Lytechinus pictus: one gene and its partners. The protein of the gene in region 4 purifies or fractionates together with the protein of the main gene of each other region. This does not show direct contact. Links are inferred from orthologs where the notes say so. Each region holds a gene or a part of one and is shown on either strand. Other genes may lie near its edges.

Region 1 (7,760 bases), on a different chromosome or scaffold from region 4:
TGAATCCACTGACACGATCAGTGCTAGGGTAGAGAAAGAGGCAATTGTTCACCAACTTCTATCCGACAGTCAGTACTTTCCGAGCTTTTTAGGCACGCTCGATCTCGACAACGACCCCTGCTTGGCAATAGAATTTGTTGGAAATCAAAAGTCGGGGACCTCCTTCTCTCTCCTCGAGCCTCCGTCTTTGTCTGTTACAAACGGCCTCGACATCGCAGAGGACGTCGTGCGAGGAATGATGGAGCTTCACGACCAAGGGCTCCTGCACAACGACCTCAAGACCGATAATGTCCTTCTCGAGAAAAGAGGTCATAGTTACCACGCCGTCATCATTGACTTCGGTATGGTCAGTACGATCTCGTCGCCGTTACAGATGACGGAGCTTCCTGAAGAATTGAAAGTAGCATACATTCACGGAGAGGAGGGTGATTACGTAGCCCCCGAGGTCGTTCTACATGGACAGTCAACATCGATTTCATCGGATGTATTCTCAGTTGGCAAAATCCTTGAAGACATCACAAAAGTTGTAGAAGGTAATTTGCAAGATTCCTCGTGTAATTTATCAGAGGAGTATATAGAATATATAGGGGACAGGGGCGTATATCAAGGATTGGCTAAAGGAGGGGTGGGGACAGTGGTGTACATATTTTCTGCCAAGCAATTTGCCAAATAAAAATAAAAATGGGGTAGGGCAGGAGGTTTTGTCCCCAAAATTATGAATTTTCAGGTCAATATATTAGTTGCTATCATCCCCATGCACTGCTCGGAGTCTCGGACCGGTTTGGGGCCAATTTTCTTGAATAGTCGGGTTACGCCATTGTCCAACCAGCAGAAGCGATAACCGCTTTGATGGCATAACTGGAATGTATTTCCTTTGAAAGCAAAGATAAAAGACTTCTATAAAAAAAAAAATTGGTTTGAATAATGCCCGGATTAATGAAGATTTCCTTACTCAGTTACCTTTTTCCTGATTGTGTCCGTTTTACTTTAAATTCTTCTCCTCCACAACCATGCAGAAAGATGTCCACTTCTGAAAGATCTAACATCCTTAGCCATCAAATGCATGAAGAGGAATCCACAGTCAAGACCGGACCTTTCCTTTGTTCTCGAACATATCACTTCCTTTAAGAAACAAATGGATCGCCGCCAAATTCCACTCTGGAAAAGACTCGTTAAAAAACATCGATGAAGAGTGAAGTTTCACAAAAGCAAAATCTTTCCGAGCAAAACATTTGGACCATCAATATTTAAAAAGATTTGCAGACATATAATTATGCTGGTCTTGCTGGATATACAGTATATGAAGTCGTACTAATTCATCTGTCTATAAACGGTTACACGATAATAATTGTCAAGCAGGGAATGGTAGCAGACTAATGATGAGTTTGCAGAAGCAAATGGATTACCTGGGGAGCGTTCATAAAATGACTTGTGAGACGTTTTAACATTAATTTTTATCCGTCAAGTCCCCAACAGTTACCATAGTAACAATGCTTCTCAGCCAATCAAAATCAACAAAAGAGGTCTGGCGAGCGTTTCAGACGTTTATCCGACAAGTAGTGATTTATCCGACAGTTACTATGGTAACATTGTCTCTTAGCCAATCATAATCAAGGAAAGTTGTCAGACCTGATAACTTGTCGGGTGAAAATGTTAATGAAGCGCTCATCGGATCTAAAACATTTTCGGACGAAAAATATTGATGAAATACCCCTGATTAACAATTTTTTACCGGATAAATAGTAATAGAAATATTGTATTTATAATTTCGATTGATGATGTATTTATAATAGTGTTTTCAGTGCGCAGGCGCATAACTTGTTATTTTAATTTAAGACGTATTTTGTTTTTGTTTTTATTCACTATATTCATGGGATAATAAAGAAATTCTAAGATTTTATGAATAAGTATTCTTATCAAAGAACATATGCAGTATGATTTTCAGTAAATGTTATAATAATCATTCCGAAAGATATGAAAAATGATGGATTTAACATAAACTATTGATTCATTCAAAGAAAAAAAATTTACAGCATTTCAATTTGCCTTTTCACTGCCAAGTTCAATATTTTACATGTTATGTTACATTCAATATCATGTTATAATGATGAGCCATTAAAGTTTGTGGACTATCTTTTCAAATTCCTCGCAAGCTATAGTTGTATACAAAAAAGAAGTTTTCGAAGTATGCAAAAAAATATTATATATACGACATTTCTGTGTGACTTTTCTGTTTAAAAAGCAATTAAAATTAGTTATTGTTAAGTAATTTGATTTATGCAAAGACAAAACCCTTAAATTCTGAACTCTATGGACTCTTGGGAGCGTAACTTGAAAGCTCTTGTGGGACATTTTATCCGACAAGTCCTGTTTTATCTGACAGTTACCATGGTAATGGTGCTTCTCAGCCAACCACATTCAAGAAGAGTTGTCAGATCTGACTTGTCGGACGAAAATGTTGTTGAAACACTCTCTGGTAAGCTATGGGAGTCAGATGTTACAAAAAAATCGTAACATTGTAGGCGCAATTAATTAGCTCATTCTACACAAAGTCAATTCATAACTGTCTGGGAATTAGGGGGATAATAAACGTAAAAAGCATATATTTTCGGCTTCCCATTTTTTTAACACAGTTAGACCATAAATTAAACTGGACTTCAGAATACTTGCCATTATGCTTGAAATATTTGACATTTCTGTGTTACTTATTGGTATATTAATTATTAAATTCAATATCACTGCCGATCTTGCTGTGCGTTATGAATAAGTTTTATTGAAACCTTACCATGCATACAGTATAATGATGGTGATGATGATGATAACAATGATATTAATTATATGAAAATGATAATCAGGATAATGATAATGGCGGTATGATGATGGTGATGACGATGATGATGCATGATAGGCATATTGCAATATGCACTTATTGGTTATCAAGAGGGACCATGCATAGGCGTCACTCCGACCTTGAGCCGGGAAGGGGGGGGGGGCTTTTTAAGGACTCTTGGTATGAATTCAGTAACATGATACGTGTTTCACCATTTAAAGATGCGCGCGCGAAGCGCGACCTAAAAACAATGCATTATAGCCTAAACACTTACTTCCTTAATCATGAACACGCCATATCTCTTACTAAACAAATAACGCGAGCATTATGAAGTGTGAGCTGATTATTGTTGATGTTCATACCTGAAAACTATAGATTTTGAGCACCTTTATAATAGTAACGGTATCCGTTATTTGTTTATAATTTGAGCGCGAAGCGCGAGCTGAAATTTATAAATGGGCCTACATATACCTGACTAATCTTGAAAGGAATTGAAGCATTGTTTGACATACATGCATAAAGAAAAGTCATGAAGGGGGTAATGAAGGCTATACCAGTAATTAAATTTATGCAAAGGCGCAAAGCGCAACCTTAAGAACGGACATTTTTTACACATTGTTTTTTTTTTAACAATAGGCAGACAACTTAAAAAAAGGAACTTTTTAAGCAGTTTGTTGGATATGTGATTTATCTTTTTATCTTTTTTTTTTTTGATATGCAAAAAAAAAATTGACAATCAAAAAGACAAAAAAGAAGTTTGTCATCACTCTCAAATGACTAAGGTTTGTATCTCTTTTTTTTGGAGGGGGGGGGTAGATTTCTCTTGTGCCAAGACCTCTTGCCGCCCACCCCCCCCCCCCACCCGTTGATCCGAACCTGAGCAATATCTTGTTCTAACGCCATATTTACATTCCAAATTTTAATTGTGCCTGTCAAGGGGGGCACGGGCCGGCTGGTGCCCCCTGGATCGATCCGCCAGTGTACTGAAGGTACAGTGAATACCATTTTCAATTTTCTGAGAAAATCACATTTGATTGAGTTTTTACCATACGATATGTAGGAAAGCTGCTCGCATATGACGTCACAGATCATAGGCCTATAATTCAAATTCTATTTATTTTTTCATCCTTTCATGGATTTTTCTCAAACCGGCAATATTTTGTTACTATTTTTCCCGCTATTTTTCCAATGAATGTTCAACAAACCCACCCATCAACCAGGGGCGGATCCAGGATTTTCCTAAAGGGAGGGGGGGGGGCAATTTTTTCGGAGGAAAATTTTGACAAGCCCCCCCAAAAAGGGTTTTCAACCACAAATTAAGGATATTTCGTACCCGAAAAAAATTTGACAAGCAAAAAAAAAAAAAAGGTCTTCAATTTCAAAAGAGGGGGCACATCTCGGTTTCAATGGCATTTTTACATTACAAATTTTAATTTTTCTTCTCAAAAGGGGGGCACGTGCCCCCTGTGCCCCCCCCCCCCCCCCTGGATCCGCGCCTGCCACCAACCCAATTAACCCAACCCGGGCCCCCGCCCGGGCCCAACCCAAACCAAACCGAACCAATCCAATCCAATCAAACTGCCTTGCATCCTTGCATGCACCGGCCTCGCCGCTTAGCTAGCCTCACATCACCTGGCCGCGGGACCGGGGCGCGGCCGGGGGGCCGGGGCGGGATGCAGCGCAGCTGATCGGTCTAGCTAGCTAGTTGATCATGATAGAGTCAAGCGACTAACTTCCGAGACTGACTGAAGACGAATTTATTATGGCTTCTCATCGAATTCGCAACCCATTACTCCGTGCAATACATGAACATAATACAGATGAGAGGTTCAGGAGATCAAATTTGAGAAAATATTATGACGTGGAAGCGGTAAGATACTAAGAATCTAGAAAGAAAACAATGTGTGTTTGGTGCTGGTATATTTTTTTTTACAAGGCAAGGGTCCCACATATCTATTTTTGTATTTGTGTACCGTATCTAATTTTTTTACATGTCAATATATTATATAGTTTTTGTGAGAGACTGCCACTGCCCTGACTCTGTACTTATTCAAACTTTCAAATCAAAGAGCTTATGTTGAAGTTATGATCACAGTCATGCGAGGTTAGGACAACATCTATCGAGGTAGACAGCTGGCAGCCATGGCATCAGTTTCTAGGAGTTTTTAACGTAATTTTATGACTCGTACACAGACCAACTGCGTAGCGTAGGCAAGGCTCGACATTAGCGGTGGCCCGGTGGCCCGGGGCCACCAGAAATTCACATCGGGCAACCATTATTGATAAAATGTTAAGTTTTGGTGGCCCGAATCGGGCAACCAATAATTTTCAAAAGTAGCGCAATTTTTCTCCCGATTTTGCACGCATTTATCAACTTTCTACAGTTCAAATTGCAACCCAGTTCGTCATGCGCCCTTTTTGTTGATCTACACACAAATACACACACACAGTTTGCATATTAGGCCTACAGTTATAGCATACAGTAGCTATTATCCAGCCAGCCGCACCGGCCGGCTGCTGGCGTGAGCTAGCTTTGCATGAAGCCACTGCATACAGCTGTGCATGCTCTAGATCTAGCTCAGCCTATTCACACTCTGGGAGCTGCGATAAAAAATGTTGCTGCTTAGAAATCTTCCACAGAACTTTGAAAATCTGAGTCAAAGTCACATTTTACACCAATGAAATGACATTCTACAGTCTATATTACGAAAATTTGGTGTACCCTGATTATTTGCAAGCATTAAGAAGAGGAATTATGACCTCTCTTTTGACTACAAAAGACCGATTTCCAAATGAATTAATACACATAAAAACACATAGGCATGTACATCACAGTCCCACATGTGCATTTGTATGTATGTTGATACTTGGTTTCTTTCGAAGCTGTGTCTTTTCTAGCCAAAAATAAACAGACAGTTTCTTTCTTTCTTGTTTATAAATGACTTCTTAAACCACTCTTGAGATACTTTGGGAAGGCATTTCATTGATATGAAATGTGAATTTTTTCAACATTTTGGCAAATATAGGGAAGGACTTTTCTCTCACTTTTTTTCCAGATATAACTATTGCCGTTTTCTTCTTATTTTTTTTCTTTCATTTTTTTACAGCACTTGGTTAAACCATTTATACCCCTTCCTATTGAATATACCTGATTAAAAAATATGTTTCTACTGAAAATAAAATAATACAAACTAAAGGATATAAAAATAGAAATGTGCCATTTCCAGAAGGTAAGTGAAAATTATTTGCTTGGCTTTTAATTATATTCCAGTCAGAATAGACTGTTGCCACAGCTGTTAAAAAATATTCGTAATGGCTTCTTAATTTTCCCCTTTTCCCCATTTTTATATTAATTTTGTTTTATTCATTTTTCTTTCACTTTTTTTTCTCTAAATTTTCTTTTCTTTTTTTTCCCTGTTCTTTGTTTTTCCTTTCTTCATTTTCTTTCTTTTGTTTTATTTCACTTATTTCTTTTATTATTTTTGTTTTCTTTTTGTAATATACTTTTTGAAAATTATTTTCATTTGTTTCCCCCTTTTATGCATTGTTCTAATTTTTACAACGATAGAAACAATTTATATTTTACCACAAGCCAATTAGCAAAAACAGCAAACAAGGTTTACATACAAGATGATAAAGTGAAAGTAACTTAGTGGTAGTGGCTGCAGAATTAATATTTCAGAAGTTTGTTTTATTAATTTTTAATGTGTTTCTTTATATTTTTCGGGCCACCAAACTTTAATATCGGGCCACCAAAAAAAATTATTTGATGGTTTTGGTGGCCCGAACGGGCCACCACCAAAAAAAGTTAATGTGGAGCCTTGGCGTAGGCGTAGCCAGGATTTCATTTTTGAGGCGTGCTAACACAGAGTGCGCGAAGTGCGCTCCCTAGGGGGTGGGTGCAGGGAGAGGGAGTTTCCCGCTCCCAGGCGAAGCTTTCTATGTTTTATGAATTAAAATGAAGAGGAACCGTCTCTTGAATTTATTGTGATTTTGAACCTTGTTTTCAAAAGTGAAGCAAAATTTATATATATAAATTTAGAGAGAGAGTGAAGTAGTTTCATTAAAGGGGAATCCAGCCTTGGCCATAAAATTTTGTGTTTGGAAGGAGAAAAATAAATTAAACAGAATGGTGAAAGTTTGAAAGAAATCGGACAAGCAATAAAAAAGTTATAGCTGCTTTAAAATTGAGATCACTAATACTATGTAGATTTCCAATTGGCAACTGGGTAAGTTAATTATGACAAGGGGCAAGGACAACTTTCCCATAGGCCATGTACTTTATTATCAGGGATTTGTGATTTTCTCTTAAGTACCCATTCCCCTGGGGAAGTAATCTAAACATAACCCAGGTAGTATATTGTTTTATGTCCTCATGAAAGAAAAACATAATTTGAAATAAAACTTTGGGGGAAAATGACACTTTAGCCAAAATATGTATTGGAGTACATGGAAGAGTAGTCCTTGCCATACATCACTATAACATCCCATATGCAGCCAATTTGAAGTTTCCATGGGTATAGTGATTACCAATATTTACAACTTTTAAAAATTCATAACTTTCTTGTTGTTTGTCCAATATTGTTCAAACTTTCACCTATCAACTTATCTGATTTTTCTTTTCCTTATAAAAACAAGTTTTTATTTGGGTTGGATTCCCCTTTAAGGTACTAGGCCTACTTCTTTTGAGAAAAAAAGTTAAAGAGTAAAAAGAAAAAAACCCCAAAAGCTACCTTTCTTCCCTTTCCTCCATTCTCTTTTCCTTTTCTCTTTTTTTTCTTTTTGGGGACTTTTTTTTTGGGGGGGTGAACGCCCCCCTTGGCTACGTGCCTGACACAGACAGCTCGCTATCGTGCAGCCACCATTAGGCGGTTAACAATGCAAAATCCCCCCATCGGGGCTCATCGATTTTTGTCTTTATTTCATAAAA
Region 2 (8,413 bases), on a different chromosome or scaffold from region 4:
TCCCTTAATGGCTGACCTTAAATCTGTCTGGATTTATGTTTAATGGTTTCTGAATAATAATAGTAAAAGTAATAATGGTATTGTTTTATAGAGCGCACACACTGTCCAAACACGCTCATGGCGCTACATGTAGCGTAACAACAAGCTGCAAATATAAACAAATTCTACCAATAATAATAAATTACATGATTGATGCAAAAGGTACAAACATTAGCGAATATATAATTTATTATCACTAATTGGAATTCATAGTCAAATAAAGAAAGTTGGTTGCCATGTTTAGATATGAGATATGTGGTCAGTTTATAGAGCAGAGGTTTTGTAATTTGGTCTTTAACCCTAACTCTCCCGGGGTATTTTGATTCTTGTCATTCCCGGGGGGGGGGGGGGGCCATAATGGCCCCCCCTTAAGATCTCGGCCGCTGATCGAGCGAGCGAGCGACGCAAAAATTTGCACGCTGGTAGTGTGCGATGTAATCTACAGGGCTGTATGGTAAAATTTTCCAAAATAATGAGATTTTATTTTATATGAATTAATTATTCTAATTTATGCATAAATCATACTTTTTGCACTAATTCACTAAATAAAGCTCCTAGAATGCTAATTTTTGGTAAAAATATTCTTTGTAGCATTCTTAACAATCGCGATAAAAAAAAAACTTCGGTTTGGAAATCAATTTCTTATGTATTTTATTGTTTTATGAATTTCTTATGTATTTCTTTGTTTTTTTACTTTTTGTTTTTTATTGTTTTTTCAATGGAAATCGTTCCAGACTTAATTCTGACCATAAACAAGGCAAAATTAATTAAGTTTAATCAGTAAAAGTAGAAATAATGATACATTTATGAATTTTGGCTAAATACACAATTTGCATTGGATTTGTACTTGAAATCACGTTTATGAGCAATTTTGGGTCTGACATGCACTTACATAATGTTGCGTAATGTCGTAACCGTGTACCCGGGCGTCACAAATTTGGTCTCTAAATTTGCGCGAGACTTGAAAGTAAAAAGTCAGTAAGCGGCGAGGTCAAAAAATTTTGCGCAGCAGATATATCGCGAAAATTGTCGAGGGGGGGCCATTATGGCCCCCCCCCCGGGAGAATTAGGGTTAAGGGTTCAAAATGAAGTTGGTTTGCTCAATCTTTCTATGTATTGGTTCAGTGGTTCAGGCATTAGTATCATACTTTTTTTTTTTTTGGGGGGGGGAGTTTACAAAGAGTTAATTGTTAATTTTTTTTAAATGACTGATTTCAGAAGACATTTTTGTACTCTGAAAATGGCTCAATTTCCTGGTAATACCAGTATCGTGGTCAAGTACTATAATATCATGGATGTAAGAAAATTGAGTGGAAGAGAACAATCATAATTTTTCTTGCATTAAATGGTAAAGAGGGTAGCAAAACAAAAGACATATTTTTTATTTCAAAAACTTTATAACTAAAGTACAATGCCCATGTGGAAGTGCCCAGTTGGTAATAGTCATCTGGCATTTGTTGTGTCAAGGTTGGTTGACTTGAAACCACACTAGTTTCAATTACCTAATTGCTTTAACCTGCTTTATACATTTGCTGAATTTGTGTAATATATACTGAGTCGACTAGAAATGATTTAACATTTTTATTTTTTTAATCATGTACAATATTATATTATAGTGCAAATTACACTTTAATCTTTTAAAAATGCAAATAATATGACTTACTGTAAGCTGTATCATAATTTTGGGGCCAAACTGATTGCAAATGATCACCCAAGCAATTGTGAAAGCCCCTTAATCTATAGTACTATTGACAATTAAAGTGGTCATTAATATGTCACTTGAACATTTTGTAGCAAATTTTGAGCTTCTGTGGTACAAATGTGAATGAGAAAACTGATTTTATTATTATTGAATTTGATTGTAAATATGCACAAATTTTCAATAACACCATGTACATATAATCAAAGGCTTTATTTTGAATAGTCATTTAATTATACACATATTTTCATTTTATCCTTTAAGTAAATGGTTACACTGCCTACATAAGTTTTACTATCAAATTGATCCCTCATTTAGTTGAAAGTCCTTGTCTTACAGAAAACTGCATTAGAAGCTTGCTTTTTAAAACCCAAAGCTCAGTATTAATCTCATTCACAAAGTATCCCTTTATTTAAAAGTGATTATTCATTGCATGTAGGATCACCCAAGTGACCTAACTCATCAGAGGCAGATAAAGTGCTTTTAGCTTTGACGATGCAATAAGCCTGTTCACAGTTGTAAACTGCGCATGAGCAGTAAAAGGTTATTTGAGATAAACCATCAAGTATTTCCTATTCACTGACAAGCATTTGTGATTTGGTAACTATTCATGTATTCATTTGAATATATTCTTTTCATCACACCTAAGCTGCTCTGTACCATGCCTATCTTTGTTAGAATTTGATTGCTTTGCTTGGAAAGCTTACACAACATCTTCATTTGAAAGTGATAGTGCTCACCCTAATGGAACATAGGAAAGGTCATTTTAGAAAAGTTGATCATGAGCCAACTGTGAACTGACTTATATTTAACACTTACAGTCAGTCCGCAAGCCCCTGTGTTAATGAGCAAATGAGCAAGATTTATCCAAGTCCTCTCGTGGCTGAATTCATGTCCCTGCAAAATCTCGTGAATTGTGAGACTTTCTTTCTCAAAGAATTTAACCACTTTCTCCTTGAGTAATATTGATTATTTTTGTACCATGGGCAAGAGTAAATGTTACTCTTTTATATTGGTCATTTCTTTTGAATGAAATATTTTGATAAATAAGTGATTTTTTTACCTGAAAAGATGCATCAAACAGAATTTTCTTCCTCTGTTTTCACTTGCAAATTGTGCAACATTTTGTGTTTTAGGCACCAACATTATTTATATCATCAGAAAGCTCAAACTCTATACTTTCTTACAATGTCACTTTTGATATGTGGCATCTTTTAGATGGGTCAGCAGCCAGCTTTTTCCATCAAGATGCAAGACGAGATTTCTGAAATTTCTGAGTAACATAAAATCCAGAGTTCTGATTGGCTGAATACTGTTTTCAAAACAAACAGGCGCGGGTAATTTGAAGAGATTACCACATGGTGAGTGTGACCTTGCAGAGGCCCAGTGTGGGGAACATTGGAATTTGCATGGGTGTGTGGTCTATATGACCAATCAGAGCGCAGTATTCTTGTTTTTGAGCTGCAAAATGTACTTGGCCTATGAAAAGCTGGCTGCTGACCCATCTAAAATACATCTTCTTATAAAAATTATATCATATTAAAGCTTAGATCTTCAACTTTATCATGATTTAAAAATAATTTGTGCCCAAACAGAAATTAAGTGTGAAAATAACAACTTTTGTTGCATGAAAAAAAAAATTTGTTTCATGTTTTAGATCAAAAGTTTTTCCTATATTACAACATTTTTTAAAAAATCCAAACACATGACCTAAAAGAATGATTCTTCTTCTTTACAAAGATACCAAAAACATGAAATTTGGTCAATATTTAGAGCAGCAATGGCCGAATAAAAAGAGGTGTTTTGGTTCGCACCAAGCTCATTAACTATGCAAAAACCCTCTAGTCATGAATATCACTTGGATAAAAGAAGCTACTTTTTCAGGGCTTGCGGACTGACTGCTTATTATTGTTATTTTTTATTGATTTATTTATTTATTATTATTATATTTTCTGGGGAGGGGGGGGGGGGGCAGATGAGATGTAGTAGCATATGATAATGTTAGAAATTGAAAATTGAAATTCACTCAATTTGATTTGTACTACAATGTAACTACAAGTAATATATTTTAGGAAATATAAATACAGATGATTTTTACTTGTCATTTTCAAACTGTCATGAATGTACTGGGAAATACAGTTATATATTACCCATATTTTGGCTGTGATGGTCTGTTTTTTTTCTTTTAAGAAATCGTCTAGAGTTTCAGAGGTTATATTCCTGTGGGTATGTTGTTGGATACTTTAAAATGGAATATTAAAATAGGAATGGAAATAGTGTTTTTTGTCATTTACATTTTAAAATAAAAGTGGTTACATTTATTCTAGTTATATATATATATATATATATATATATATATATATATATATATATATATATATATATATATATACTGTATTAGTTTACAGTAAGACCTAAAAATAATAGTTTTGTTAACAGACAGTTTGGATTTTTTTCCAAGAATAGACTCTCATATTCTGTTTTGACTTTGAATTGAAATGATTGCCTTATCAATTTGATGAATAGAATGGTCTGATCGTAAATCATAAACAAGTGATTGAAATGCATAGAATAATTTTTGTAATGCACTTTGATGCACAGATTAACTATTTGCCATGTTTTTAACTCACAGACATACGGAGAGGGAGAGCTGAGAGAGAGAGGGAGAAAGAATGGGAGAGGGGGAGGGAGGGAGGGAGAGAGTGAGAGGGGGGATGAGAAGAGGGGGAGTGGCAGGATGTACACAATAAAGAAAAAAAAGGATGTGCTCTTTTTGGGAAATAAGATAAAACAGATGAGAATGAATATGAATGAATTGTGATGGCAGTAGACCTTAAAAAAATTGAAAAGAAAATGAATGTGACTACAAAAGCCTTCCTTTCTGCCTTTTCCAACGATGACAATTATTCATTTCCATTGGACATGCAGCTTGCAACCCTGAATATTTTTTTTTTTTTGGGGGGGGGGAAGGGGGGAGGGAAAAATTGTATACCCCTGTTTCCTCACACAAACACCCAGTAGGGTAATGAGCCAAATAAAATTAGGGGGACAAACCCCAAACATCACTGTGTAATGAGCACAATTTTTGAAAGTTTTGAGTGAACAAGAAATATTTTTTACCTTCTTTGATAAGAAAAGCTAAAGAGGGATTAATTAGTCAATATAAAATAACATATTTAATGTGTTTTTTTCCTTTCCTTTTGTTCATTTTTCTCATTTTTATCTTGGTGGTGGAACTTTTTTGGGCCAGGCCCCCCCCCCCCCCCCCATTTACGCCAGTGAAGACACTCTCTCTATTTTAAGATTTTAATTTTGTTGATTCTTGAATCCTTTTCGTCTATCGACCCATTGCGTCCACCCTCGCCACCCGGCACCCCCACACCATCACGTCATCGGCAGGCATCCTCGGCCTCCATCTCGTAGCGAGCTCGAGCTCTACCGTTATAGCCTCGCTATCATCAAGTGCGCGTGCGTGGTCTGATAACTCTGATTGCATCACACGATCGTTCACAACAAGTACGGCACCGTACTCGAGGATTTTGCAGACGACGTTCCGACTTAATTTCACAATGAATACTTTTATCTTTAAAGTAACTTTCCTAATTATTTCAGTGTCAATCATCTCTACATATGCTCTTCCACTTCGTCCCGTTGTGGGTAAGTTGCAATACCACGTATTTATTTTTTGTTTCACTGAAGTAATTCTCCGGCTGATTTCTCGCCTTTTGATTGTGATTACGGAAACTCCACCTGTGTCGCGCCAGGCGCTCTGGCTGGGTGAGAGCTGCGATTGCTATTATGTTGAGTGGGCCCAGCATAGTCGCAATACGTGTGAGTGGAGTGGGCCCTCCATCGCGGACCTCACTATTTAATTTGACCGTGCTTAATTGTGCCAAATATTTTTGACTAATTATCTGTGTACCCAAAGACACGTATCCAAGGTCCTCGGTGTATTAGCTGATTACGAATTCAAGCAGGATCTGTGTTTCACATATTTTTTAGTAATAGTATCGTCACGTATTGTATTTGTAATGTATTACTAAATTACCGGACAATATTATGATTCCGGACGCGCATATTACTGCGTTCGAAAACAATTTCGTACCGTAAGACTTCCGCAATTCGATTTCACAGAGCAATACATAGAACAAGATTGCTAAAACAAGGTGAAAAAATCAAACTTTTACCTTATTTATCTCTAAAATGACAGAAAATGCTTAAAATATCATATGACCAGTAGAGGCGCACGGCCAATATTGGAGACTGTCTCCAATGTGGGAGATTATCTCCAATATCAGAGACTTTTGTAAAGAATTTGGGTATCCAATTTCAGAGACAGTCTCCAGTTTTGGAGTCCAATTTCCTTTGTTTACATTTGCTGCAAAAGGATTACCTTGGCGGCAAATAAAAATGTGATAAGCAGATTCCTCATGAAAAATTACCCCTTTTCACCGTCTACTTTAAATATTCACCGTCTACTTTTGTTTTGATAAGGATTTTTGTTGTCAATCACATACAAAACAAATGGGCTTCTGACCTCAGTGAGACAAAAATTTTGGGTGGAAAAAATCATGCTTTTGTTGGTGTTGTTTCTTTTGTCCTTTTGCAAAGCAAGTCTCCAATGTGGGAGATTGTCTCCCCTATTGGAGAGAGTCTCCCATATTGGCCGTGCGCCTCTACTGATGACATAGTTTGCATTAACAATTTGTATATTTTCTAACGGAAATATGGGCCTGATTTGCCGAATTTCAATCTCGTCCACTCCTTCGATCGAATGATGAGGTATGGTGTATTGTGGGTGATCGTCGACGGCTAGTTCTCAAGGTACCCGTGCGCGAGGTTTACCGTGAGTAGAGCCGTCGATCGGCAGCGCATCGATAGAACTTATTATTATTGGAAAGTGCCATGGAACATGCAGCAAACAAGATAAGATTTAATAAGTTATCAAATACGAATTTATTACCAACATCTGCTCAGATTCGATATAAAAAAAGCAAATAAAAACTTAGAATTTACTCATGATATGATATAAGAAGAAAAAAATCACACAAATTTGTTCTTACATCATTATAATCAAGGATATCTTTACCCGTCCGGCGTGCGTCCGAAAATAATTGTTTTTCGTGGAGGGGTATGCGGCAAGTGCGATGCAAAGAAAATGGTTGGTAAATATAAAATAATTTCATCATATTCATAATTTTCATAATATTTGGAATAGCAAGTGTGAATTTTTCTTGATTGTATTTCCTCTAGTTGTCATTTTTAAAGCACTAAAATAAAGGTGTCCGGCAATAGGATACACTGCCAAAGTCTTTTTACAGCATGCATGTTTATTCAAGAATAATACACAACTTCACAAGCATTTATTGTGTTTTGTCTTTTGAAGAAACATTTCATTGGAAAGCAGACCAATCAATGCATGCCATGCAGTTGAATTCATCTGTTTGGAGGGGTTTTTAAACATATATTTTTTTACATTTAAAACTTTCCTACACAATCAAGAGAGTAGTCAAGTCAGGAGTCAAGTGGAACAACTGACATCACAGAAACTGAAGCTTTTGGTCTAGCCAGTGATGAAATGGATGAGAATGAGAAGTTTGACAGGAGATTGAGAAGGAGAAGGATCGAAAGAAGAAAGGAGGATGAGAACTTGAGAAGCAAAAGTAGGAGTGCTCAGTTAAAAAGTTAAAGAAGGAAAATGAGGGTATAATCGAGGAGGGTGATCATGTTGCAAGAATCTATTCTGTAAATCTAGGTCTAGTTATCCACTTTATGTGCCGGGCTGTCTTGACTATAGTTCTGTATTGACTTATGATGAACAATTTATTGATTATTAGTTACAATAATGCTACAAAAGATATATGTAAGACTAGAGGGCCATTTTCCAAGTTCAGTTCAATCCAAATCAATTTTTTTATAAGGGCAGTGTAAAATGAGCCTGATTGTAAGTTGTCATTATAAGCCCTATATTTTTTGATAGTCTGGAGGAGCTGCAACATCAACCATGAATAATTTTCCCGGTCTAGACAAACATACCATTTTGGATTTACTGAGAGTGGTAGGAGCAGTTATGTATTGATACTGCATCTAGAGAATTTAATTTGAAAAGAAAGGGGGAAGGTAGTCTTTTAGGGCCTTACTGTTAATATTGGTAATTGAGTAAGTTACACATTTTTTTTCCAAACGCATTTAAGGTGTGTTGGCGCAAGGGAGTTCCTCATCGACAAAGAAGTATGGGGCCTCTTACATCGCTGCATCCTACATCAAGTATCTGGAGTCTGCTGGTGCTCGAGTTGTTCCCATCCTTGTAAATCAAACGGATGAATACTATAACAACATTTTCAAATCTCTCAATGGGTAAGATGAGGTTTCAAAGACATTTGTTCCTGGGAACTCTGCTTCTGTAGGAAGCTATGGCCCGTATTCTGAAGTCAGGTTTAACTTAGACCACGGTCTAACTCTGCTAAAATTATGGGGAGCCAAAAGTTAAAAAATTCTGTATATATTGTATGTTTCTTATGTTTACTATTTTGTTTCCTTTTGCTTTCATAATGAAGAAAAATACTTCAGTTATCATTCCCAGACAATTCCCAGACAATGAACAATTTGGGTGTCATATGAGTTAATATATTGAATGTGTTCTGTAAGGGATTTGTGCTCCAATTGGCTCTCCAT
Region 3 (7,812 bases), on a different chromosome or scaffold from region 4:
ATTATATTCACATGATAAATTCCAGGTACCAGCATCAAAGATTTGATGAACTTAATGGGATAAAATCAAGAAACAAATCAGATAACAGAATATCATCATTTCAGGAAAAAAAATTAAAATTACATGACTAATAAGATTCTGACATCATCAGTACAACAAGAGCTGACCAACCAGTAAAAGGGTGGCATCCTTGCCCTTTCCCAGTTATATCATTGTAATTTTCCCACACATAACCTGACCTATTATATTGCTTTATAATATTACTAACAACATTTGCCCTGAGTTCACTGTAAATTTCTTTAGCTTGAGCAGCATAAGGACCGGGAACATTAGCATAATGATGCAAGGCACGAAGAGCTAGGTAATTAATATTGATCCAAACAGCTCCACGCCAGTACGGTGGATCGTGTTCAGTGTTATGTTTCATGTACAACGGATCGCTCTTTGATAAGGATCGAAGTCCATAGTTGGTCCACAACATGTCAGGGTTTTTCATGTCGGTGAGGGTCTTGCCAAGTTTGTCAGAGTTAGGGTCAAGGATGTGGAGAAGGAATGGGAAGAGGCTGACATATCCAAAGGAATTGACATACTTGTTGGTGGGTCCAACTTTTGATTTGACAACACGAACCATCTCCATCTGGACAGGTTGTTGACCTGGTTGGCGGGGCGGTGGGTGAGGGCGCTCTAGCACAACTCTAGCTGTATGGTTCCCAAAGTCACTAAACATTTTTGCCTTTGGGGACCAATGAAGCTTCTCAAGAAGGGCATTATTAGTTAGGACCTGCAATGTATGCTCATACTGATCATATGGTAACCCAATGGTCTTGCCTATCTCAACCATCACACTTGAAGCCAATGCCATCCAACAACGCAGATCAATGTGACGTTCTTCACTTGAGGGATGGGATGCTCGAGGATAGTCATCACATCCAGAGGTTAATGTCTTGGGATTTAACTCGCGATTTGTCTTGCTATCACGACCCTTCCAACGATAGGATGTTGGGACTGGACCATACTGAGTTGTGTTGAACCATTGGAACCATTTACCTAACCTGGGATAGATATGCTTTAGGAAGGATGTGAACTCTTTCTTTGGGATTACAGATGATCCGTCCCTCAATAATGATTGGAGGGGTAGGAAAAATGTTGGAGGGTTAGCATTTGTATCATGTTGAACTACAAACTCTGCAGGCACCTTACTTCTAGCCTCAGAGTCTAGAATCTGTTCTCTAGGTATCCAACCATCTGCATTCATTAAATCAAGCCAGTGGCCTATGATGTCTACACTGATGTATGGATCCCACTTGCTAATCAACAGATTGTGAAACCCTTCATCCCACAGGAAACCACGAGGAAAGAACGATCGTGAAGGCACTGCAGTGTACAGAGGAGCTACCCAGTATGCTACCGGTTCCGTATTATGCTTGGATTGAACAACCGAACTCCCATAGAAATACCCAATACCTCCTATCATGTTACTCATTGTTGCTTTTGCAAACACTACTTCATCAGGAGCGTATCCCTTTTCAATCAACCCGAACTTCTCCTCAAAAAGCTGGTTGAAATTATTGCTGAAGCTCTGCACAAGACTTGTCAACTCGGAACCAGCAAGCTCCTTTTCCCTGTCCGCTTTGCTTCCAGATTCAAAGACAACATCCATGATGTATGGAGGTTCTACAGTCACTTGATAGACGATGATGTTTGCTGTCTTATCAGGTGATGCTGCAATCGTTTGCTGGTCATTCCCGACAAGACCAAGAAGCTGGATCTTCTTCTTCAACTCATGATACTTCAACCGCCGCATGACAAGGTCTTTGATTGCATGGAGGCCAGGAGTGTAGGACACCAAGTAGTTGTTCATCCTGACTTTTGTTGGTTGTGGGAATCGAAGGACAAACTTCCCGAGCTCTTCTGTGGTGCCCTTGATGCCCAGCAGCTGATTTCCATCCAGGATTGGTTCAATTGATCCTTGACCATCGAGAGCGAAGTAAAACATGAGGCTCAGTGTTTTCTTCCCCTTTGTCTGCAGAATTAACATTACAAGTATAATATTAATGATAATCAGTATATTATTTTCATCAGTTCAGAAGGTAAGAATTACAAAGATCACCAACATTCAAATCACTCTGCCGACACCCCCCCCCCCCCATCCTTAGGCAAGAGCCTTGGGTGGAGCATATGAGTTAAACATAAACACAAACACAATACAATTCTCCCGAATTAGATACCAATTCAATGAAGCAATCATTATAATACTGGAATTCTCAAAATAGAATGAAAAGATATATGAAAAACAGTGTAGAGATTTGGTTAATCCATATAATAAAATATATTTTTCAAAATCATCGTAGCACTCTTACAGCTACTCATAATTCATGTAGATCTACATTGTTATTTATCAACCTGTGATGTCCAATTTTTATCTTGTAGAAATTCATAATGCTAAGTTTTTTTGCCTAGTATCATCAGTATTTAGTTGTAGTACTACTTACAATATCTACTCCATCTTTGTATCGGACAGAAATAGATGCTGACCAGTCCCCTCCTTGAAGTCCACCTCCACTCTTTGCAAAAGCCGTTTTGATATGGAATGGACCATCAAAAATATCTTGAATTCCAAAATTAACACCATCATGTTCAATCCAACCATACTTGTCCAACCCATCTCCTTGTTCACATGTGTGCCTGAATTTCAGATCTGGATTTTGACTAGGAGAAGTTGGTTGTTGAAACCACATAAGACCCACGACAGGTGATTTTGGAGAGCGTGTCTTTAAGCCGAAATAGACGCCGGGGCGGTATGTACCCCAAAACCGCCCGGGACTTTTGGCGGCGGAACTGGCATCACTCGCTATGGTAAGTGGAGCGCTTAGCGGCGTCTTCACAGCTGATCGAAGGACATGCTGATACCACAAGATCATGAGTGGTATGCTAATCATCAGAGATGTCAACAGAAACATTATGAACTTCGAAGACGATTGTGCCGCCTCATCCTTTGCCTTCCGAGACTGTGCTCCATTTCCAAGTTTCGCAAGTTTAGTTTCACGGCTGCGGGCCCCTCCCCCTCCGTCAGTGAACCGCGATCGGGGAGATACCCCCGCTTGCTTACGTTGCTTCGGCATCTTGATCGGGTGATTGAAAGCAACGCGATTTGCTAGGTTTTTGCCACTATTATGAATAAATTTCAAAATTTGAAATATAATACTCATGAACAATTCTAGTCCACTCCAGCTAATTTAGCATTTTGCACCGCAAAATGCTGGTTGATGGCTAAACATTCATTCCTTTTTTTCAAACAAGTCTACGTACGCGTTGCCGGTATTAGTCTTTCACCCAGCTCATTCGGTATCGATATCGGATATACTCTCAAAAGTCGCCACGTGCCCGTAGTCTCATATTTCGGACGTAAATCAACGTCAGATGGCATATACCTTAGCCCCCATAACTAGATTTTTAAACCCATTTTTTAGTTTATTTCAATATTCAACATACGAATCAGTAATAATAAGATAATGACCCATTGGTTATATATATATATATATATATATATATATATATATATATATATATATATATTCGGTAGATATTCCACGTGTTGGAGTAATATTAAGAGAAACAAGGTTGAAACTTTCATGCTTTAATCCAACAAAATTTATTGAAGTCCACAAATTTTCGACGAGTACATACCGTCTTTATCAAGTACATATACCGTCTTTATATATATATATATATATATATATATATATATATATATATATATATATATATATAATGAGATGAGGCGAGGCCAACTCAACAGATGACGCAGGACACCATTATTTGCTTTAGCTTTCGTCTTTTAATTGAGACTTCGTCAGAAGCCCCAGAAGCGTCTGAAAAATATAAGGAGATACAACATCCAAGTTTGTTTTGCACATTATTATCACCAAGTTGAATATATTCCATAATGACAAATTAATGAATGAACAGATAAATAAATTAATGAATAATAAATAATTAATTCAATTAAAATAATAATGATATAAATGAAGAAGACATACCTGTAATTACAGACTATTGTGATAGTTAAGTATGACCGTATCCTATCTCGTTCTTTAGGAAAGTGGCAAAAATTGCACAATGAAAACATTGGTTGCTAGGTGGTGAAAGCGCAAAGCGCATTGGTATGCGCATTTAATTTATGTCACAATAAATATGAATTTTCATGATATTAGATATCGTAAGCTGGAGGATGATGTCGAAAACATTGTTTCTTACAAGCATAGTAATTAAATTTCTATGAAACGATATAAATTTTGAAATCAAATTGAGATTATAAATAAAATTGTTGATAATTCGCGTAATGACCAAAAGTCTCACTTCTCAAGCTTAGGTCATCTAGAAAGCACATAACAAATACATAACAATAAGTATTTAAAAAAAATCATTTAATCATTTAACTAGTGACACTGATGTAACAAATGTGACACACGATTGAGGTTAATTAGAAAATATCTATTCTTCTACATTGATGCCGTTTGGTACAAGTGTCTTAAGTTTCAGAATCCAATATGACTCTCGTTTGAGTATGATTGATTTATGCTGTTTTCTGATAAGTTCTATTATCATCACACACTATATATATATATATATATATATATATATATATTTATATGTTATATATATATATATTGTCATATCAGGGAGGGAAGCTTTAGAAAATACCCTTCCTGGTATGACTATCACAACAACTCCACATTATCCCGGCATATTATTTGGTTGCATGTTGAACAAAAGGTCTAAATACATATACACAATCCATAAAGAAAATGTAATGAAGTCAGGAGGAGGGTGGGCTCCACGATCGCGACCGCGTTGGGGTGCCAATCCAATGATGTCTCATCGATCAGTTTTTGGCAACTTAATTGACTATTATGAGGCTATTTCTTTTCTGTCCAAAATTCGAGCACTTTCCCCGGGGGGCCACTTCCATTGACGAGTGGATACCATGCGCGACCATGGGGTCTCGAAAAGCACCCTAAACACGTATTTTCCATATTCTGAAAATGCACCCCTTAACAAGTATTGGCGTGTGAAACCCTACCCTTAAAGGGATGGTCCGGGCTGAAAGTATTCATTGCTTAATAAATAGAGTAGAATTCACTTAGCAAAATGCCAAAAATTTCATCAAAATCGGATAACAAATAATAAAGATATTGAAGTTTAAATTTTAGCAATATTTTGTGAAAACAGTCGTCATGAATATTCATTAGGTGGGCTGATGATGTCACATCTCCACTTTCCGTTTTCTTATGTTATTACATAAAATCATAATTTTTTCATTATTTCATACTTGATCATTCATGACGACAGTTTTCACAAAATATCGCTAAACTTTAAAATTCAATAACTTTGATATTTGTTATCCGATTTTGATGAAATTTTCGGCATTGCGCTCAGTGAATTCTACTCTATTTATTAAGCTATGAATATTTTCAGCCCGGACCATCCCTTTAACAAGTATTGGAAACAAAACGATACTCTTGGCAAGTATTCCCTGAAATGAACCCCTAAACAAGTACAGCAATATTTGTTATGTCACGGGTCCGTCGGTCGTCGGTTTTACCTTTACACATCATTTGGTTAAGTACAGCCCCACCTTCCACATCTGGCGCAAATCGGACTCTAAACGCGTAGTGTTGGGGGCAAAAACGACATCCTTTATAAAACATTTTAATTTTGTTTTATCATCCCCGCAAATTTGACCCTAAACGCGTAGCTTTCCTAGCGAAAGTAGATACCCTTTTTTCATTATTTTTTTGTTTTTGAAACCCTTATCACGTTACGTACGTAATAACGTACGTGCCCTATCTTGAAAAAGACATCCTTTTTATGTGTTTTTTTGGTCGCGCATGGTATCCAGTCGTCAATGTAAGTGGCCCCCCCGGGCACTTTCCCAACGGGAGATATTGTGAAACTTTTACCATTGCATTTACCTGGTGTAACATGGGTAGTGACATAATAATTCATTAATTTAATTTTCATTCATTTTGGGAAAAAATATTATGATTGATGTTAACTTAAAACATTAAGGAATGTTCAGTGAATAAACTTTATTTTTTCCAGCAGCAGTTTTCAATCATTCATGCCAGGGTGAGGGCCCTAGAAACAATTTTTTTTTCAAAGGGGTGCTGGTTTAAATCTAACAAGACAAAAAGGGTATATATTCACTACAAAATGAAAGTGTCCGAAATTTGAAAAGTAACCCTGCCCCCCCCCCCCCCAAAAAAAAAGGGTTCTGCTACAAAATGAAGGTGATGTTGGTTGGTCCATGAAAAAGCAATGCAAAAAAATGTTTCCACCGCTAAGAAATGAAGATGAGTGGTGATCGACATTTTGCTATTAGCATTATCAGATTTAAAGGGGGTGCTGTCTATATGAGCATACGCAGGTGACGCAGCAATGGCCGTACACAGAAATTTTTCGCGGGGGGGGGGGCAACACGCATGCTGAAAGTGAGGGAGCGATTAAGCGACCGAGCTTGTCATTGGGGCGGTTTTGCATTTTTACAAAGTGGAATTAAAGGATAGCTGTAGGCCTATACTTTGGTAAAATTTTCAGTAAAAAAAATTGGGGGTGATTGCCCCCCCCCCCCCGCTGCGTAAGGCCACGGGGACGCAGCACCCCCGTGCATGTGACCCATGATTCATACGCTTGACTTATAATTTTTTTCATAAAAGACTATTTTCTGTACGATGTACATTTCATACTGGTGCTCAAAGGCAGGAGATGGCGCTATTGCCATTGATGCATGCCGTTGATCATTTTTATCCACCTTCATGGGACGGATTCAGTCGGGTTGGAATCCGACTATGATAATCAAAATAACTGGTCTTATTTCATATTGGAAAAAAGATATGTACCTGTAATTGGTAATTGAAAAGTATAGTAGCATTCAATCATTGGTTAAAGAAATCGAGGGGACTGAATTTTTGGATACACTGCCATAATGACAAATTTCCCACATGCAGAGTAAAACCCTATAGACCCCCCAATCAATGAAAGCAAAAAATAATAAAAATAGTATATATCGGCCCTTCGTCAAACCTGCCATAAAAGGTATTCAAGTAATTTCGATTAAAATTTTGAAAAGGGCAGCCATAGATTTGTATAAGTCAGTTTCTTCGATGAATATTCAGCTGCAATAATTATTAGATAAGACCGCTTGGCAGATTAAAAAAAAATATATTATGCCCTCCCACCAGAAACGAAACTGATAACTTAATCGCAAAACATTTCATATCTGTGAAGCCTTTGTCCCCCTCTTTTATTTCATGAAGTAAAATGCACTTTAAAATTCCCATGCATGAGTGAGGTTCATCAAGAATATAGCTGGTGGCGATTTATATTATGTTTAAAGAATAGTAATTAAAAAAAGTTATTTATCGGCTTTTTAGGGGAAATGAACAGGAATCATATAAATATTTTTGTTATGCTTTTACTTCCAAATCCTGCATGGTGCCTGCATCATACGCTGTAGCATCTTATGTTCAATGTATGACTGACCTCCATCCTACGCAGCAAAGTATATAGCGGAGTATATCTTTAGAAAATGAACTTGTATGTTTGATTGTGCCTTTAAATCAAAGCCAATGAATGGTTTTGAATCGACTTTAGATCGGTTTTAGAATGAATATCCAAATAACAATTATAAGTAAAAAAACCCCAAATTTTATACTGAAATCAAAAGCATAATCCACATTTTTTAAACTTCATTATTTCTTTCTTGTTTGGCGGCATATATATACCGACCCCCAGGCCCGTTGCAGAAAA
Region 4 (8,388 bases):
ACTGATAATAGTATAATAAATTATTATATTATTATTATCATTATTATTCTTTATCATTGGAAATGTGCCCCTTCCATCCAGTCCGTTCCTTGTATTTCATTTAATTCCTTCAAATGAAATCACTGTAGACTCATTCATAACTTTTGGGTATTATCGTAATTATTATCATCATTATTGTCATTATTTTTTATTGTATTTATTTATTATTTACCTAATATTGTTATTCTTATTTTTTGTTAACATTATTTATCTTTTATTTATTATTTTATAATAATTATTATTATTGTTATTATTCTCTATTATTAACATTATATTAACCTTTATCATAATTATTATCAACATCATTATTGTTATTAATCTTTATTATCATCATCCCCATCATTATACTATTGTTGTTATCATTACTTTACTTTTCATTTCCGTCACATATTTGTATTGATTACTTTGTTTTGGGGTGACTCTTTCAATAATAACAACAATAATGAAAATGATGCCAATGATGATAATTATAATAATTAATACCCAAACGTTATTATGAGTCGATCTACAGTGATTTCATTTGAAGGAATTAAATGAAATACAAGGAACAGAATGGATGGAAGGGGCACATTTTCAATGATAAAGAATAATAATAATAATGATAATATAATAATTTATAATACTATCATTATTATAATAATAATAATAACACCAACAATAATAAAAAATAATGATATATGATGATGATAGTAATAATATTAATAATGATAATAATAATATTGACAATATAATAATAATAGCAATAATAATGATTAAATAACAACAATAATAATGATAACAATAATGATAATTATGATTAAATAACAATAATAATATAATGATAAAATGATAATAATGATAATATAATATGATAATGACAATGATAATAATAATTCCCGAAGGTTTTGAATGAGTCTTCCTTGTCACGTTACACTGGGAAACTGTCCCCATCCCCTTGGCCTTGTCGAACGAGCACGATTTTATGTTGTGAGGGGACGGTATCATGAGTATAATATACTGTTGGAGCTATCCCCACTGCGTGCAAAGTGAACTTGATTTCCCGTAGAGTGGGGACTGTATCACGAGTATATATAGGGAGAGAATCCAAGTGTAAGTGTGTTATCATTTCGCAAGTTCTCGAGCGCGAGCTGTGCGAGAGTTGGGGACTGTGTTCTGGAGAAAGGAAGTGATTTTCTTGCGTTCTGGTAGGTGTGATTCTAATATTAATAATCCCCATTTTTGGATTTGGGGACTATATCACGATTATGCCCAATATTGGCCGTGCGCCTCTAGTCTACTGTACATGTGAGGAAAAAGATACTGGCCAAAAATCACCAATTTTGAGGATAACCGGAGGATGGACACGGAGTGAAATACGGGTGTAGAGTAAGAATATTTATTTAAGTCATTCATATCCCTCGTTATATTTTTTTTCTTTAACTTTTACGATAACCATGATTGCCATCCCACCTTATGACTCGGAATATCCGATCTAGTTGAAGTAGTTCACTGTCCCGATGTTCGGGTAGGTGGAGCGTAGTGTAGCGCCTAGCCGCTGCGGTAGTGAAGTGGAGTGGAGCCTGCGCGAACATCGCCTGAGGCTGAGCCTGAGGTACCGTACCGTACCCGGTAAAAGGCGGTATTCGTTAATGACATGTCTGTGCAAGTTTTATATATGATGATGATAGTAATAATATTAATAATGATAATAATAATATTGACAATATAATAATAATAGCAATAATAATGATTAAATAACAACAATAATAATGATAACAATAATGATAATTATGATTAAATAACAATAATAATATAATGATAAAATGATAATAATGATAATATAATATGATAATGACAATGATAATAATAATTCCCGAAGGTTTTGAATGAGTCTTCCTTGTCACGTTACACTGGGAAACTGTCCCCATCCCCTTGGCCTTGTCGAACGAGCACGATTTTATGTTGTGAGGGGACGGTATCATGAGTATAATATACTGTTGGAGCTATCCCCACTGCGTGCAAAGTGAACTTGATTTCCCGTAGAGTGGGGACTGTATCACGAGTATATATAGGGAGAGAATCCAAGTGTAAGTGTGTTATCATTTCGCAAGTTCTCGAGCGCGAGCTGTGCGAGAGTTGGGGACTGTGTTCTGGAGAAAGGAAGTGATTTTCTTGCGTTCTGGTAGGTGTGATTCTAATATTAATAATCCCCATTTTTGGATTTGGGGACTATATCACGATTATGCCCAATATTGGCCGTGCGCCTCTAGTCTACTGTACATGTGAGGAAAAAGATACTGGCCAAAAATCACAAATTTTGAGGATAACCGGAGGATGGACACGGAGTGAAATACGGGTGTAGAGTAAGAATATTTATTTAAGTCATTCATATCCCTCGTTATATTTTTTTTCTTTAACTTTTACGATAACCATGATTGCCATCCCACCTTATGACTCGGAATATCCGATCTAGTTGAAGTAGTTCACTGTCCCGATGTTCGGGTAGGTGGAGCGTAGTGTAGCGCCTAGCCGCTGCGGTAGTGAAGTGGAGTGGAGCCTGCGCGAACATCGCCTGAGGCTGAGCCTGAGGTACCGTACCGTACGTATTCGTTAATGACATGTCTGTGCATGTGTGTGCATTCGAATTGGCGTGTATTCAGTAAATCTAAGCTAACTTAACCTAAGAAATTTCAATTGAGTCGGCACTGGTATTTACAGTTCTATGTTGATAAGATTTCCGAGACATCTCACAAGGCACAGGTTCTGGTAAATTTGAATTTGCGACCGGTGATTTGGGGTTAGTGGTAAACACGACGACATTCACAGCTGATCAACATTTGATTTTGGTGCCAATAGATAGTCTTAATCTATGAAATATTATTTATTCAGATAAAGAAAATAAAATAAAAACTAGTACCGGTAGTTTAATAATGACCCAGTACCAATAGAATTCAATGAAATTATTTCAAAGATCATTAAAAGTCGATTGTGAAATAACATTTACTAAATATTCTGTACAGGATTTACAAATTAAATTACAAATTATCATAATAAAAAAAAATTACAGGGTCTTTAGCCGATTGCAATTCATCTTTAAAGTTAGCATCCCAAACTACGCACTGCTAGAATGACGATCGTTTTGATGATCTCAGAAATATTTAAATTTCAAATTTTCATTTTAAAAACGGCAGGAGCCGCGAAACAGGGGGTGGCTGGGGGGCTTCAGCTCCTCCTGTTTTTTTTTTCCAAACCCGGGTACAAAAATGTAAAAATTACCATCCCATAGTGAGTTTTTGCATGGTCATGCACTTTTGGCTCAGCCGCCCTCCACTTGGCTCAGCCGCCCTCCACTTTTGGCTCAGCCGCCCTCCACCTTTGGCTCAGCCGCCCTCCACTTTCAAAACTGTTCTGCAGCCCCTGAAGAGTGAATCTTTTTTTTATCATTTAATGAAAATTATATTTCAAGAAGTTTTAAGTTAGCATGCATTTGCAAACTAAATATTAATAAAAGAAATCCACACATGTTATATGAAAGAGACAGATAAAAATATCGAAACTTTATAAAGTGGGAATGGGGGAAGGCCAGATTTTTTTTTTTTTTTTTGGGGGGGGGAGCGGGGGTCCAAAAATAATAAAGACCCCGGACATAATCCTGGGGACTTAAATTAGGCACGTTCTCATTTATGCAGAGTTTTCGAAGTGTGCCCCTCTTCCCCTTTTAAACTCACTATGGACCTTTTTTGCTTGTAATTATATAAATGTGATTTTAGCTTAGTATAATTTACATATATAAAAATCGTGCAAAGTGTTTTAGGGCTCCTTGAAAATTGTTAACCATATTTTTACTGTATTTAGTATTTATATTTATTTATATATATATATATTTGATTTGTAACTTAATATGTGTGGATTTTGATCAATAAATTTTGAAACTTGAAACTTGTCGAATTTTCCTCGGGAAAATGTACCCCCTTTTTGGAAAATCCTGGCCTCCACTGATTGATTGCATGGTGGAATAATTTCCAAGCTACTTAAATGACTTATTTCCTCGAACTTTGTCAGAAAGCAATTATGGCTCAAATAATCACTATATGTGATGAAGTACAAGTTCCCTTCTTGCATAAAATATAGCTCATAGGAATCAGGGTCGTCCTGATTTCTGGAATTTTTTTTTAATCTTCCCGCTTTTTTTTGGATGTCCAATATAGATCATCTACTAAATTATATACCCATATTATGCAAATTTACTGGCTAAATGATTGCAGGTATTATCAATGGACACATGGCCTTGGATCGAGGCTTGGATCCATGCTTGGATGCACGTATTGACCCGGGGGGGGATATATATTCACGAAATAAGGCATACGGAGATGTGCCACTGGAATGTGTCGCTTTTTGGAAAGAAGTCCCTAACATGGGGTATGGTTTTATGCTGGAAAATCCCTAAACATGGCCCCAATTTTTAGATACTGGCCTTGAACATGGGTCCATATTACTCCAAAGTCTAAGGTGCACGAAATGGGTGATAACCTTTTTTTTGTTGTTGCTTGCTTGTCAAATTTTCCAGGGAAAATCGTGCCCCCCCCCCCTTTGAAAATCTTGGATCCGCCTCTGTAATAAATCCGTAATATAAATGGGTACCTTTTTAGCCAAAATGACCCGTAAATATCATGGGTATGGGTTTTGAGCCTTCAGTCGCACACCCCCGTCCAAACCAAATGTAAGTACCCCCCCCCCCTCGGGAGTATTGACTGCCAAGTTAAGTGATGCCATAGAGGTGGATTAATCCACCACTATGATGAGTGATGCCCATCTCATTGGTCTAAGGCCCCGGTCTAAGGCTAGGTTTAGATTTTTGTGCCCCTCCCCCACCCATTTCTTCTTTTTTTTTTAATGTACAATTATGCCAGATAAAAAGTAGCAGCGCATTTAAAATATATAGATTAAACGTCTGCCAGTTTCAAATATCAAAATTATACTTTTAAAACTATAAAACAGAATTTAACCCATTTAAAATTGCCATCAGTAGTCCAAGTAACATATTGGCAACGCAAATGAACCATCGGAATATTGTCTCTCATTTCTACACATTGGAATTAACGCACACAAAATTTGACCAGTCAGCGTGCTCCACGCGATAATTTTATGCGATGTTTTTTGCATGTGACGATACGATACGGCGTTCATTACCGATTACCGGCGCCGGCGTGAAGGTGAGAACACACCCCTTTTAATATGAATTTGTGTATGAGTGTAGCTGAAAATGGCATTGAAAACATCATCATTTGTATATACCTGTACATAAACCAATTTTGTAGATTCTATTCTAGGAATCGTGCGTTTTAATCAAATCTTAAGTCGAGTGTAGTCGATCATCTTTTTGTGTGTAGTCCCATGTGTAAGAAATGGATGTGGAATTTAATTTGTTTGTCAGTTTGTGCTTGTCATGACGTGATCATGCCAGACAGACTTGGTCTTGAGAAATCGAAGTTGCCATGTTGATGAATGAAATCTTGCTGTATGTTGGTTGGCATAATCGTGATATAGTCCCCAAATCCAAAAGTGGGGATTATTAGAATCACACCTACCACCAGAACGCATGAAAATCACTTCCCTTCTCCAGAACACAGTCCCCAACTCTCGGACAGCTCTGTAAAACTAAGACTGTAGCAAAATGATATTACACACACAAATGAAACACACACTGTAGTGTATATAAACACTTGGGTTCTCTCCCTATTAATTTATTATATACTCGTGATACAGTCCCCACTCAACGGGGAATCAAGCTTGATTTTCACGGCGGTGGGGACAGTTTCAAGTATATGTAGCGGTCGCGCCCCCAGCTTGACCACTAGGTTGATACCTGAAGCTAGAATATAAGGAATAAGTCACTAACCAGTATTTTCCTGGAGTGATGTCCTAGTTCCTGTCTATTCCGTGTGAGTTCAGCTTCAAATACAATGATCCAAGGGATCCAACGTCCTCCAGCGTCTAAAAGGGGTCCAGCGCCATCTCCCGGTGGAAGACCTATATGGGGGGTGGGGTGACTTACTACAACAGTCCCCCCCGTTCTATAAAACTCGGTCCCTCGAGTTTCCAACCCAAATGGACGCTATCCAAACCAGACACCAGGCAGAGGGAGGAAAAAATTCTCCACTCCCTAGGCACCCCAACCAGGAGACCTTATCTCCCGGCTGGGCATGAGTAAATACAAGCCCATTTAAAAATTCCCTTTGGTCTTTTATGTACACAATGCTCCTTAAAATTTGGCAAAAAGTACTTATGCAGCATTGTTCTGTCCCAAGTCTGCATTCCCAAAATTAATTATAATTTGCTACCCGTAATCAGCCATAAACATATTCCGTTCTTTTATAAATAAAAACTCCAAAACTATCCAAAACACTTGGCACAACTGTGCTAAAAACTTGTTCAACACTTTAAACTTTAAAAACCCGTAACATGAAAACGGTAAAAACCCGTAATAACACCTAAAAACCTAGAGTTTTGAGGTTCTTTAAAAAACCCATACAAAACATATAGAACAATGGTATATATATATAAAAATATAAAACCCATACAAAAACCCATATCCCAGGAGGGTCCCCCCTTCCCAGAAAGCTCCACTTTCCCATAGCAGTGGGCTGCCGCTGGCCCTCCCCTGTCGAGGCACCATCTTACCCGGGCTGTGCAACACATAGCATTCCCGTTCGGTTGAGAGACTGGAGCACCAGTACCCAACCTAGGTCCCCCAGGTGCAGGAAGGGGGCGTCAGCGCTGCCATTATGCGAAAAGGGCCATTTAAAACACTCCCCTCCAAAGCGGACCATGAAGCATTTCCTACATGGCCTAAATATACAAAAAAGATAGACGAAAACAACGAACACAACAGACACAAAGAGGAGGCGACTCGGCTGGTCCCTCCCGTACAGAAAAACATATAGGGTCCTAAACGCGCTAAGCTAACCCAAAAATGCAAAGGGAATCGAAATCCCTTCGTGACAAATGGAGGACAGATCTCCTCCAGTCCCTTTTTTCCTCACTACACCCCATAGAGTGCCAGATGGTTAATCCTAGCTCGCTCCATGAGGGTGAGAAACCTTATCCGCCAGGCTGAGGTGACAAGCTCTCCCACCTCGCTAGTGAACCCAGGGTAGGATCCTTCTCCTGTTCCACCCGTAACGGGTCGATGGGCAGCTGCCCATCGGTAACGCCCACTGGCCTCACCCTGACCGACTTGTACTGGACTGGCTCCACCTACAAGCTGAACCATTAGCCCCAATAGTACGGCTGCTTGCCTGTAATTCGGTAGAGGAACCGCGATCCAGGTGAACCCATTTTTCAACAGGGAGCGATCCCGTCTCCCTTCCCTTCAATTTTTCAGTTTCCCCCAACACCTCAGAGCAGGTTACCTTAAGGTGCCTATCAGATGGGTTCTGTTTTCCCAGCCCTGTAAACCGAACCGGGAACTAGGAGCAGTAAGCCATCCTAAGGGTTAAACATGAAATCCTCTAAACGTTGGTCTATAATGCCGGTGATCCGCTTGACTGCATTCGGAGGAACAATTACCCGCTTGTGCAAATGAACCCGGGCAATCTGCCGCCCAGGGTCATCACTATACCAAAGTGGAATCCTCTGACCTCCCAACTGCATATGCGGATCTAGGAGGTGAATCGCAGCCTTGCGCTTGCTGAGGAAATCTAATCCCAGGAGCATATGATCAGCTATAGGGGCTACATATACTTCCTCCGAGAATGTCTGGTTCCCAAGCTCTATGGAAAGGGGACCGACAATTGTCCCTCTCATCTTCATATCCCGTCCCGCTGCATGTAGGATCACTCCTCTCAGTTTAGGGGGCTGGGGGTCCAGTGACTGCAGGAGCCTATCCGAGATGATGGACACCTCGGCTGCGGTATCGACAACTGCGCTTACTGGCTGCCCCCCTATAACAACTGAGACCTTGAGAGTAGAGCGCGACTCCAACCTACATACCACTACCTCTTCAATCTCGCTTGCACACCCAAGCCCTGGGAGAGCATCTGGAACTGATTCCAGAATGGCTTCACCCAGGTCTGATATTCGGGTGTTCGAGGGACCAACTGGATCCCCCGCCGCAGCCTCTACATAAGTAGCTATTCCGGTTACATTATTCCCTGGGACTATCAGGCGCTCCGACACGCCCTCTGTTATTCCTTCAGATGAGCCTACGGATGGCCCCTCTGAGCTGCTTGCTAGCTTGGAACCCTCTATTTGGCCTCTGGCGGTGGGGGCCGGTGGCTGGCCAGCTCCTCCGACCCGCTGGAGTTTTCCTCCTCCTGGTCCCCTACAAAGGAAACTTGTACCTTGGCCCTGTTTTCCTGGACCGAAGGA

What was found.
Region 1: the proteins of calnexin-like (region 4) and protein-L-histidine N-pros-methyltransferase-like purify together in Homo sapiens (co-immunoprecipitation; 3 studies listed by BioGRID and IntAct, with this or other methods). This does not show direct contact. The link is inferred for Lytechinus pictus from reciprocal best matches to the Homo sapiens genes CANX and METTL9.
Region 2: the proteins of calnexin-like (region 4) and gamma-glutamyl hydrolase A-like purify together in Homo sapiens (affinity purification with mass spectrometry; 3 studies listed by BioGRID and IntAct, with this or other methods). This does not show direct contact. The link is inferred for Lytechinus pictus from reciprocal best matches to the Homo sapiens genes CANX and GGH.
Region 3: the proteins of calnexin-like (region 4) and mannosyl-oligosaccharide glucosidase-like purify together in Homo sapiens (affinity purification with mass spectrometry; 3 studies listed by BioGRID and IntAct, with this or other methods). This does not show direct contact. The link is inferred for Lytechinus pictus from reciprocal best matches to the Homo sapiens genes CANX and MOGS.

What each region holds. Positions count from the first base shown.
Region 1 is NC_087246.1:64,750,525-64,758,284, forward strand, and holds the start of protein-L-histidine N-pros-methyltransferase-like, read left to right. Parts: upstream 1-4,376; 5' UTR 4,377-4,592; coding exon 4,593-4,700; intron 4,701-7,760. Other genes in the region: serine/threonine-protein kinase 24-like, read left to right, coding at 1-533, 1,017-1,189. UniProt on the Homo sapiens protein: Protein-histidine N-methyltransferase that specifically catalyzes 1-methylhistidine (pros-methylhistidine) methylation of target proteins.
Region 2 is NC_087254.1:19,500,144-19,508,556, reverse strand, and holds the start of gamma-glutamyl hydrolase A-like, read left to right. Parts: upstream 1-5,207; 5' UTR 5,208-5,307; coding exon 5,308-5,395; intron 5,396-7,932; coding exon 7,933-8,095; intron 8,096-8,413. UniProt on the Homo sapiens protein: Hydrolyzes the polyglutamate sidechains of pteroylpolyglutamates. Progressively removes gamma-glutamyl residues from pteroylpoly-gamma-glutamate to yield pteroyl-alpha-glutamate (folic acid) and free glutamate.
Region 3 is NC_087256.1:13,568,931-13,576,742, forward strand, and holds the start of mannosyl-oligosaccharide glucosidase-like, read right to left. Parts: upstream 3,346-7,812; 5' UTR 3,210-3,345; coding exon 2,493-3,209; intron 2,024-2,492; coding exon 128-2,023; 3' UTR 1-127. UniProt on the Homo sapiens protein: In the context of N-glycan degradation, cleaves the distal alpha 1,2-linked glucose residue from the Glc(3)Man(9)GlcNAc(2) oligosaccharide precursor in a highly specific manner.
Region 4 is NW_026974140.1:13,618,556-13,626,943, reverse strand, and holds the start of calnexin-like, read left to right. Parts: upstream 1-5,171; 5' UTR 5,172-5,231; intron 5,232-8,388. Other genes in the region: coiled-coil domain-containing protein 138-like, read right to left, coding at 2,735-2,764. UniProt on the Homo sapiens protein: Calcium-binding protein that interacts with newly synthesized monoglucosylated glycoproteins in the endoplasmic reticulum. It may act in assisting protein assembly and/or in the retention within the ER of unassembled protein subunits.